Linked DNA regions of Rhinolophus ferrumequinum. The protein of the gene in region 2 binds, or shares a complex with, the protein of the main gene of each other region. Links are inferred from orthologs where the notes say so. Each region holds a gene or a part of one and is shown on either strand. Other genes may lie near its edges.

Region 1 (3,741 bases), on a different chromosome or scaffold from region 2:
GTGAGCTGGTGCATTGTCATGATGCAAGAGCCATGAATTGTTGGCAAAAAGTTCAGGTCACCTAACTAACTTTTTCATGCCCCCTTTTCAGCACTTCCACATAGTAAACTTGGTTAACTGTTTGTCCAGTTGGTACAAATTCATAATAATCCATCTGATATCAAAAAAGATTAACAACATAATTGCAACAAGTTCACGAACTTAATGTCAGACCTTTGTATTTTCACAAACATGTTTTCTGCTGTCCTACATCCTGGCTTTTGCATGTGTTGTTCCCTCTGCCTGAAACAGCCTTGCCTGGCCATACTGAAGTCATCCTTCTGCCCCCTCCCTACTAGACTGACAGAGTTGTCATGGGTCTCCTTAACCACAAGCAGCTGCAAGGGACCAGGCTGACAACAGCCCCAGGCATTGCACCCCACCCTGAAGGGAACCAGACTGCCCCGTGCCTCCCACCTCCGTGATGTTCTTGGTAACTTTTGCCTCCACATCGTATCTCTCCTCATCCACCTTGTCCACACGGGCATGAAGCTGTCGGCACAAGTCCTGGTGAAGGAAAGTGGTGTGTGTAGTTGGGGGGAGCCTGGGGACCTGGACTCTTGGGTCTGAGGGAGGAATATCTGGGGACCTGGACATCTGGTCCTGAAGGAGTAGACTGAAGCTGAATTCTGAGGAACTGAGAACAAAGCAGAACTCTAGAGCAAGGAGTCCTGAGAATCTGACAGAATTAGGGCTGGAAAAAGCAACCTCTGGATTTTTTGCAGCTGCAGGCCATATTTCTGAACTTGTGAGGGTAAGGATTGGGAGATTGGACCCCAAGGTCCTGAGCAGAAGGGGGACAATAGTGACTGTACCCAACTCCCAAGGATGCAAGATCGGACACGAGGAACCTCGGAACCCGGGCTGGGCAGGAGTCCGTGATTAGGGCCGGTACCTGCAGCTCCTGGAAGCCCAGCCCGGCTAACTCCAGAGGCTGGCACCGCGTGCTCAGAGCGCGTCCCTTCTCTCCACGCCGATCCTCCGCCTCCCGCTCCAGCTCCTGCTTCGCTATCTGTAGCATCAGGGTCTGCAGAGGGGACGCCGGGACCACAGCCCACCGGGGTGAGGGGTTCGAAGTCGCAGAGGGGATGCCCCCTCTGTCTGGCCCTCCCTCTAATCTCTGGCGGGGTCCTTGGTCTTCCAGAGACACGCCTCCTCAAGGTCCATCATTCCAAGGCCCCGCCTCTCCTATGGCTGGGCTCCCCACCTCAAAGTCACGCCCCCAAGACGCACCACTTCAAGCCACGCCCAATGACAATCCAAAGCCCCGCCCCAATTTTCAAGCTCTGCCACCCAAGGACATCTAGGCGCCCTCTCCAGGCCCGTCCGCACCTTCAGCTGCAGTTTTCTCGAGGCGGAGATCTTAGACTTTTTCTGCCAGGGTGAGATAGAGAGAGGATCAGGAAGGGGGATCCGAAGGTGGGCGGTGGGAGGGACTTAAGAACCCACCACCTCTAGTCAGGTCGAGGATTGGGCCCGCCTCCAACTCCAGCCCTAGGTCTACGTGAGGCTACGCCCCTCAGTCCCATCCACCAATCTGGGCCCAATATTCCCTAAGCAATCGTAGTTCCCCTGGACAACGGAACCCCGCCCATAGGCAGCTCTGACAATCCGATCCCAGCCCCTTGAGAACCCCCCGCCCCCCATCCAAAGCGCCTCATCCCTTTTGGCTCCGTGAATGACTGAAGTCCCGCCTCTATTAAGGACCTGGCCCCGTCCCCATTTCCCAAGGTACGAGTAAACCACCTCAGAGTCTGAATCCGGACCCCGCCCTTGCCCCGCCCGCCGCACTGGCCCCGCCCTCACCTTGGCATGCGGCTCGGTGGCATAAGCGCGGTAGTTGGCGGAGGAGCGGCGGCGGATCGGAGCAGGCGCGGGGCACGAGTCCCCGGCCTGGGTTGGGGGGACGGAGCCGCATTACCACCAGGACCCCCAGCTCCCCTGTATGCTCCAGCCTCCCGCCCCAGAGCCCTCCCGGCAGCGCCCTCCCCCGGCCCGCGGGTCCGGCCCACGCCTGCTCTCACCGCATCGCTGCTTCTGAAGGGAGAGAAACCAGGAAAGGGGGGTTAATGCTGGGCCTCTTTACTGTCCTGTCCAGTCCTTCTCCTAAGGGACCCCAGAAGCCCCTCTGACCAAGAGGTCTGACCACCAGCTCTCCCGACTCTGGTCCCAGGAGTGTGATTCCCAAACTCTTAACCCATTCCGACTCCCAGGAGTCCTGTCTCCACCTCCCTTCTCAGGCCAGGGGTCCAGCCTCCCAGCTCTCACCCCTCCCAGGGACCCAGGAGACCGGGTTACCAGCTTCACTCACTCGTCTGCCATGCTGAGACTCTAGCCAAGTGTTGCAAAGGCAGAGAAGGGCAACAGGCTCTTGGAGGGTCAGTGAGGGGGCGTCCGGGGTGACCTTGAAGACCCTTGGGACTTCGTCGCGTCTGAGCAGCTCAAGCCTCACTGAGGACACTGATAAAGGGCGAAGGCAGAGACTAAATATACTGCTGCCCTCTCCTCCCTCTGCCCAGGATGCGAGATAACAGGGCACGTGAGGGGTGGGATGGGCCATGCTTCAGCTGGATCACCCGTCCACATTGGTGGACTGGGAATCCAGCCCGGCCCCTTAGCTTTGACCCAGGAGTCCAGGCCCCCAGCCCCTCCTCCTTCAGACCCAGGAGTCCAGGCCCCCAGCCCCTCCTCCTTCAGACCCAGAAGTCCAGGCCCCCAACCCCTCCTCCCTCAGACCCAGGAGTCCAGGCCCCCAGCCCCTCCTCCTTCAGACCCAGAAGTCCAGGCCCCCAGCCCCTCCTCCTTCAGACCCAGAAGTCCAGGCCCCCAACCCCTTCTCCTTCAGACCCAGGAGTCCAGGCCCCCGGCCCCTTAGCTTTGACCCAGGAGTCCAGGCCCCCAACCCCTCCTCCTTCAGACCCAGGAGTCCAGGCCCCCAACCCCTCCTCCTTCAGACCCAGAAATCCAGGCCCCCAGCCCCTCCTCCTTCAGACCCAGAAGTCCAGGCCCCCAACCCCTCCTCCTTCAGACCCAGGAGTCCAGGCCCCCAGCCCCTCCTCCTTCAGACCCAGAAGTCCAGGCCCCCAACCCCTTCTCCTTCAGACCCAGGAGTCCAGGCCCCCGGCCCCTTAGCTTTGACCCAGGAGTCCAGGCCCCCAACCCCTCCTCCTTCAGACCCAGGAGTCCAGGCCCCCAACCCCTCCTCCTTCAGACCCAGAAATCCAGGCCCCCAGCCCCTCCTCCTTCAGACCCAGAAGTCCAGGCCCCCAACCCCTCCTCCTTCAGACCCAGGAGTCCAGGCCCCCAGCCCCTCCTCCTTCAGACCCAGGCGTCTGGGCTCCTCTCCCCTCACTAAACTGCAATCTCCATGAGGGCAGGAGCTTTGTCCTTCGTTGTTTTTCATCTTATGGTTAGGTTCAGTGCCCCAAAGCTGTCAGCAACTCAATGTATTTTGTTGATTTATTTGAGGATCCAAGTGTGGGGTGCTCAGGCACTCAAGCGACAGCACCAGGAAATCCACTCCTAGTCTACTTGGAAACCCAGAAATCTGATGTTGGCTCTCCTTTTCTAACCACTTCTGACCCCTTCCTTGCCCCAACCTTGGGGCAAGGAAAAGACTGAAGACAGGAAAGACACACAGACACACAGAGAAGAGGACCAGGTTCTCTTTACTTGACCACGTGGGTGCTGACCACCCCCAGG
Region 2 (3,741 bases):
CAAAACATGAACTCTCTAAACAATGTTTCTAAAGCTTCTGGACCTCTCCATCCTGCAGAGTGCTCAGGGAAGCAGGTGTTACCCACCCCCCATCCGACCCCGCTCCATGTGGTCTGCCCGTCACAGCCAGGAGTTCCCCGGAGGAGCAGTCGCCTGGCTGTGGTACGACCACAGCATGGGATAGCATTCAGCGACAAAGAGGAACAAGCCACTGACACACACAACACCCTGGGTGGCTCTCCAAGCAATTATGCTCATGGGGGACAGCCAACTTGGATGACTCCATTTCTAAAACAGCCTTGAAATGGGACAGATTGGTGGTCTTCAGGGGCTGTGTGGAGGGTGGGAGGGAGGTGGGCGTAGTAATAAAAGGGGCACGAGGGCTTGGCCTTAGAACCTTCCCAGGTTCAAGTTGTGTAGAATTTCACACACACACAGTCCCATGGAGCTGGGGAGAGCTGAGTAAGGTCGTGACAGTAACAATGTCTGCATCCTAATTGGGGCTTGTAACATAGTTGCGCAAATGTTACCGCGCAGGAACTGGGCGAAGCGCACCAGGTCCGCCTCATCAGGGTGATTGGCCAGAGAGCCACCAGCCCAGAGCGGGTGGGGAGCCTGTGACAGAAAAGCACTGCCCGGGCCCCAGGGGACCATGTCTGAGAACTGGGGGGGCTGCTCCCAGACCCGGAAGGAGTCTGTCACCTCAGCGAGGAGGGAGACGTTTCTCAGGGGGCTTGTGCACGGCCAGCCTGGCGTGCGGGGACTGTGGCATCCTCTCTCCTCTCCTGCCCTGCCTCCCACAGCCTCCAAGCCACTGGGCCTGGGCCTGGGTCAGAGGAGGGAGCAGCAGGAGGACCCTTCTTCCTGCTCCTGGGAGCACCACCCAGCATCCAGAAATAGCCTCCCGGCCACTTGGAGGTCGTGGCCAAGTCGTTGGCCAAAGGCAGAACTGAGGAAGGGGCAGGTGACAGACAGAGCTGGGGGTTCCAGAATAGGAGACAATCAAGAATCTGGCAGAGCAAGTGTGACAATGTCCCAAAGCAACTGTCCTTGCAACCACGCCCCACCTGCTTCCACAGACTGCTTTCTGTATGACAGCCAAGAGCAGGGTCACCTTCCTGGGGGACTAAAGCAAACACAATAGATGGCAGAAATGACACTGGCCATGGGGTCAAAACAGCTGGGTTTTTTGCTGTGTGACCTTTGTTCAGTCACTTAACCTCTGGGCCTCAGTAGCCTATCTGTAAAACAGATGAGCTTCAAGTTCTAATCTTGCAGAAAGTCTCTGAGTTTCTAAGGAATGTAACCCCATCGCTCAGCATTTGTCCCCAACGTTCAGCTGGGATCGTCCTAAGCCTGAAGCTGTTAGTCCATCAGGAGAGCCATGGGACAGGGGAGTGGGAGCTGCAGGAAGGAGGGCGGGGCAGGGGGGACCTTGATGATCTGAGATGCCTCTTCTGCCCCGAGGGCTCAGGGCTCGCCCTACGAGACAGGTCAGAGGAGGAGCTCAGAAGTCAGGTGGCCCAGCTGCTCCACACTTGGAATGTGCTTGGAATTCCTTACACTCCAGGCAACCCCTTCCCCAAATATTTTCTCAGCCTGCCCGAGAGAAGCTGGAAAATCAAGGGAATGTTTATCTCCCCATGGTCCTACGGGGTGGGGGGGCAGCTAGACTCAGGGTTAACCCTCTAAGCCAACGGGCTGGGCTCACAGATCCGCAAAGACCTCCCAGAGGGGTCCCCCAAGTCCCCAGTGCTGCTCAGCCTAACACTCTGAGTCTGGGAGTTTGGATGAACTTCACCACCAGCTGGGAGAGGCCTCCGGGTCCCTGCCAGCTCTGGACTGTGGTCCTTCTCCATGCTTGCCGGGCAGTTTCTGCGTTCCTGGAGATGAGACTTGGCCCCAGGACCGCCCTGCCTGATATGGCCAGTCTCGCTCCGTTCTCTGAGGATAAAGAAGGACCTGCCTGAAAGCTTGGGGAGGGACCCTCAGCTTGGAGGGAGGGGGTGAACAATCTGTGGCGTCCCTGTTGTATTTAGGGCAGGCAGAGCCCCAGCGATGACCTAGTCCCTTCTACCGATGAGGAAACTGAGACCCAAGGATGGAGCTTGTTACCTAAGACTTAACCAAGTACGTAACGTCTTCACTGGCAGATCCGGGACTCAAACCCAGTCTCCAGTTGCTAACGGAGGCTCTGAGCCTTTGTCCTTGGAGTCCCACCCCTGTAACACCTCCTCCAAAGCGTGGCCTCCTCTCGGAGGGAACAAGCACCTCTGTCAACGCCGACGTCCCTCAGAGTGGACGCAGGCAGGCTGGATGCAGGTGCCGGGACGCAGGGCCTCTTCCCTCTACTCTCTGCTCCCCCTCTAGCGAGTCTTACCTCAGAACGAGCTGCTGCCAGACCAGGACAGGGAGTGGGGGAGGGCGGGGGTGCCAGGGCTTTAAGCAGGCGTGGGGCGTGGGGCGTTGGAGCCGAGCCTCGGGGGAGGAATGTGCGGGGGAGGGGGCGGGCGGCTGGTGGTCGTGGGAGGGGAGGGTGTTGGCTGCTATTTTGTCAGGTGCCGGGGACAGGGCTAAAGAAACATGTACCCCACGCCATATAAGCCCATGTGGTCATCCAGCTGCTCAGATAAGCTATTTAAAACCAAAGCAGATATGTGGGGAACTGAGGAGGGAGCGGCATGTGACATAAACCAGCTGTCCCTCTTGACAATCGTGATAAAGCAGATGCCAGCGGCCCAGCCTGGGAAGGATGCTGGGAGCAGGGCTGGGGACAGGATCAGCCTCCAAGACAATTCCCAAGTGTCTGGACCGGGGGTCTTCTCCTGGGCTGAGTGGCCTTTGCAGGATGAAGGCCTCGTGAGGACATGTGCAAAGCGGGTCTTCTCCACGACCCCAAAGCCACATGACAAGCCCTGCTCGCTGGGAAGAGACCAGAACCGCTACAGGAGGTCAGACAGAAGGTAGAACTTCCAGTCAAGCGTGGTGGCTCCGTGGACAGGCAGCTGGCTGTGTGAGGGGCCGTGAGGCCCTGGGGTCACCCTGTAGGGCTGTGACACGCAGCCGCACAGGACCATGACAGGCTGAACCCACCGACGGGGAGACACGCGAGGGGTTCTGTCGTTGGCTGGCAAGTGTAGGTCCACTGCCCCGAGCAACGTGCCCAGGACACCTCAGGGCTCAGGACGTGCGGAAAACGAACGAGAGGAGGAAAGCGTGACTGATGGCAGCTCAGCTGCCACCCCTGACCTCTGAGTCTTCAAGGCCTGTCCTAACCCTGGCCGAGGCTCACACCTCCCTGGACCCCCGGCCTCTCGCTCATCAGTGACCGCACTCCTCGCTGTGGCCACACACAGTCTTCCCCGCCCGTTCTTGCCTCCTCGTCCCCTCGCCTGAGCATGTGTCCAGCCTCTCCAGTCCTGTTTTCTCTCAACCCTGCTGCCCGCGGACACTGCGCTGCGCCCTCTGCTGACGTCCTTGAGTCCCCACAGGCCACCGCCTATGCCCCATCACTGAACTGAAACCGTCCCCTCCAGGGGCCCCAGTGGCCTTGGAGCCCAATGGCTTGATTCCCCACCCCCAGGCGTGTCCCCTGCCACATGGCCCTCACGCTGCCAGCAGATCAGTGGCAGGACGAGCTGAAGCCACCTGCCGGCCAGCCAGCATCCTGGGAGAGAGGCCACGAGAGGCGGGGGGAGGACCAGTGACAGCCAGGCTCTCCCGGGTGAGCCCACCAAGGGC

What was found.
Region 1: the proteins of TNNT2 (region 2) and TNNI3 are in contact, whole or in part, in a crystal structure (PDB 4Y99), measured with the Homo sapiens proteins. The link is inferred for Rhinolophus ferrumequinum from reciprocal best matches to the Homo sapiens genes TNNT2 and TNNI3. Residues at the interface, in NP_001263274.1 of Homo sapiens: Glu214, Lys217, Lys218, Ile221, Leu222, Arg225, Arg226, Lys227, Leu229, Ile231, Asp232, Leu234, Asn235, Glu236, Leu239, Arg240, Ala243, Lys244, Leu246, Trp247, Ile250, Tyr251, Leu253, Glu254, Ala255, Glu256, Lys257, Phe258, Asp259, Leu260; in NP_000354.4 of Homo sapiens: Arg68, Glu71, Lys72, Ala75, Leu76, Arg79, Gln81, Pro82, Leu83, Leu85, Leu88, Gly89, Phe90, Leu93, Gln94, Leu96, Arg98, Leu100, His101, Arg103, Val104, Asp105, Val107, Asp108, Glu109, Glu110, Arg111, Tyr112, Asp113, Ile114.

What each region holds. Positions count from the first base shown.
Region 1 is NC_046298.1:48,372,932-48,376,672, forward strand, and holds the start of TNNI3 (troponin I, cardiac muscle), read right to left. Parts: upstream 2,516-3,741; 5' UTR 2,362-2,515; coding exon 2,351-2,361; intron 2,077-2,350; coding exon 2,064-2,076; intron 1,933-2,063; coding exon 1,846-1,932; intron 1,414-1,845; coding exon 1,372-1,413; intron 1,067-1,371; coding exon 935-1,066; intron 547-934; coding exon 457-546; intron 1-456. UniProt on the Homo sapiens protein: Troponin I is the inhibitory subunit of troponin, the thin filament regulatory complex which confers calcium-sensitivity to striated muscle actomyosin ATPase activity.
Region 2 is NC_046310.1:962,052-965,792, reverse strand, and holds the start of TNNT2 (troponin T, cardiac muscle), read right to left. Parts: upstream 2,445-3,741; 5' UTR 2,381-2,444; exon of another isoform or gene 2,272-2,380; intron 1-2,271. UniProt on the Homo sapiens protein: Troponin T is the tropomyosin-binding subunit of troponin, the thin filament regulatory complex which confers calcium-sensitivity to striated muscle actomyosin ATPase activity.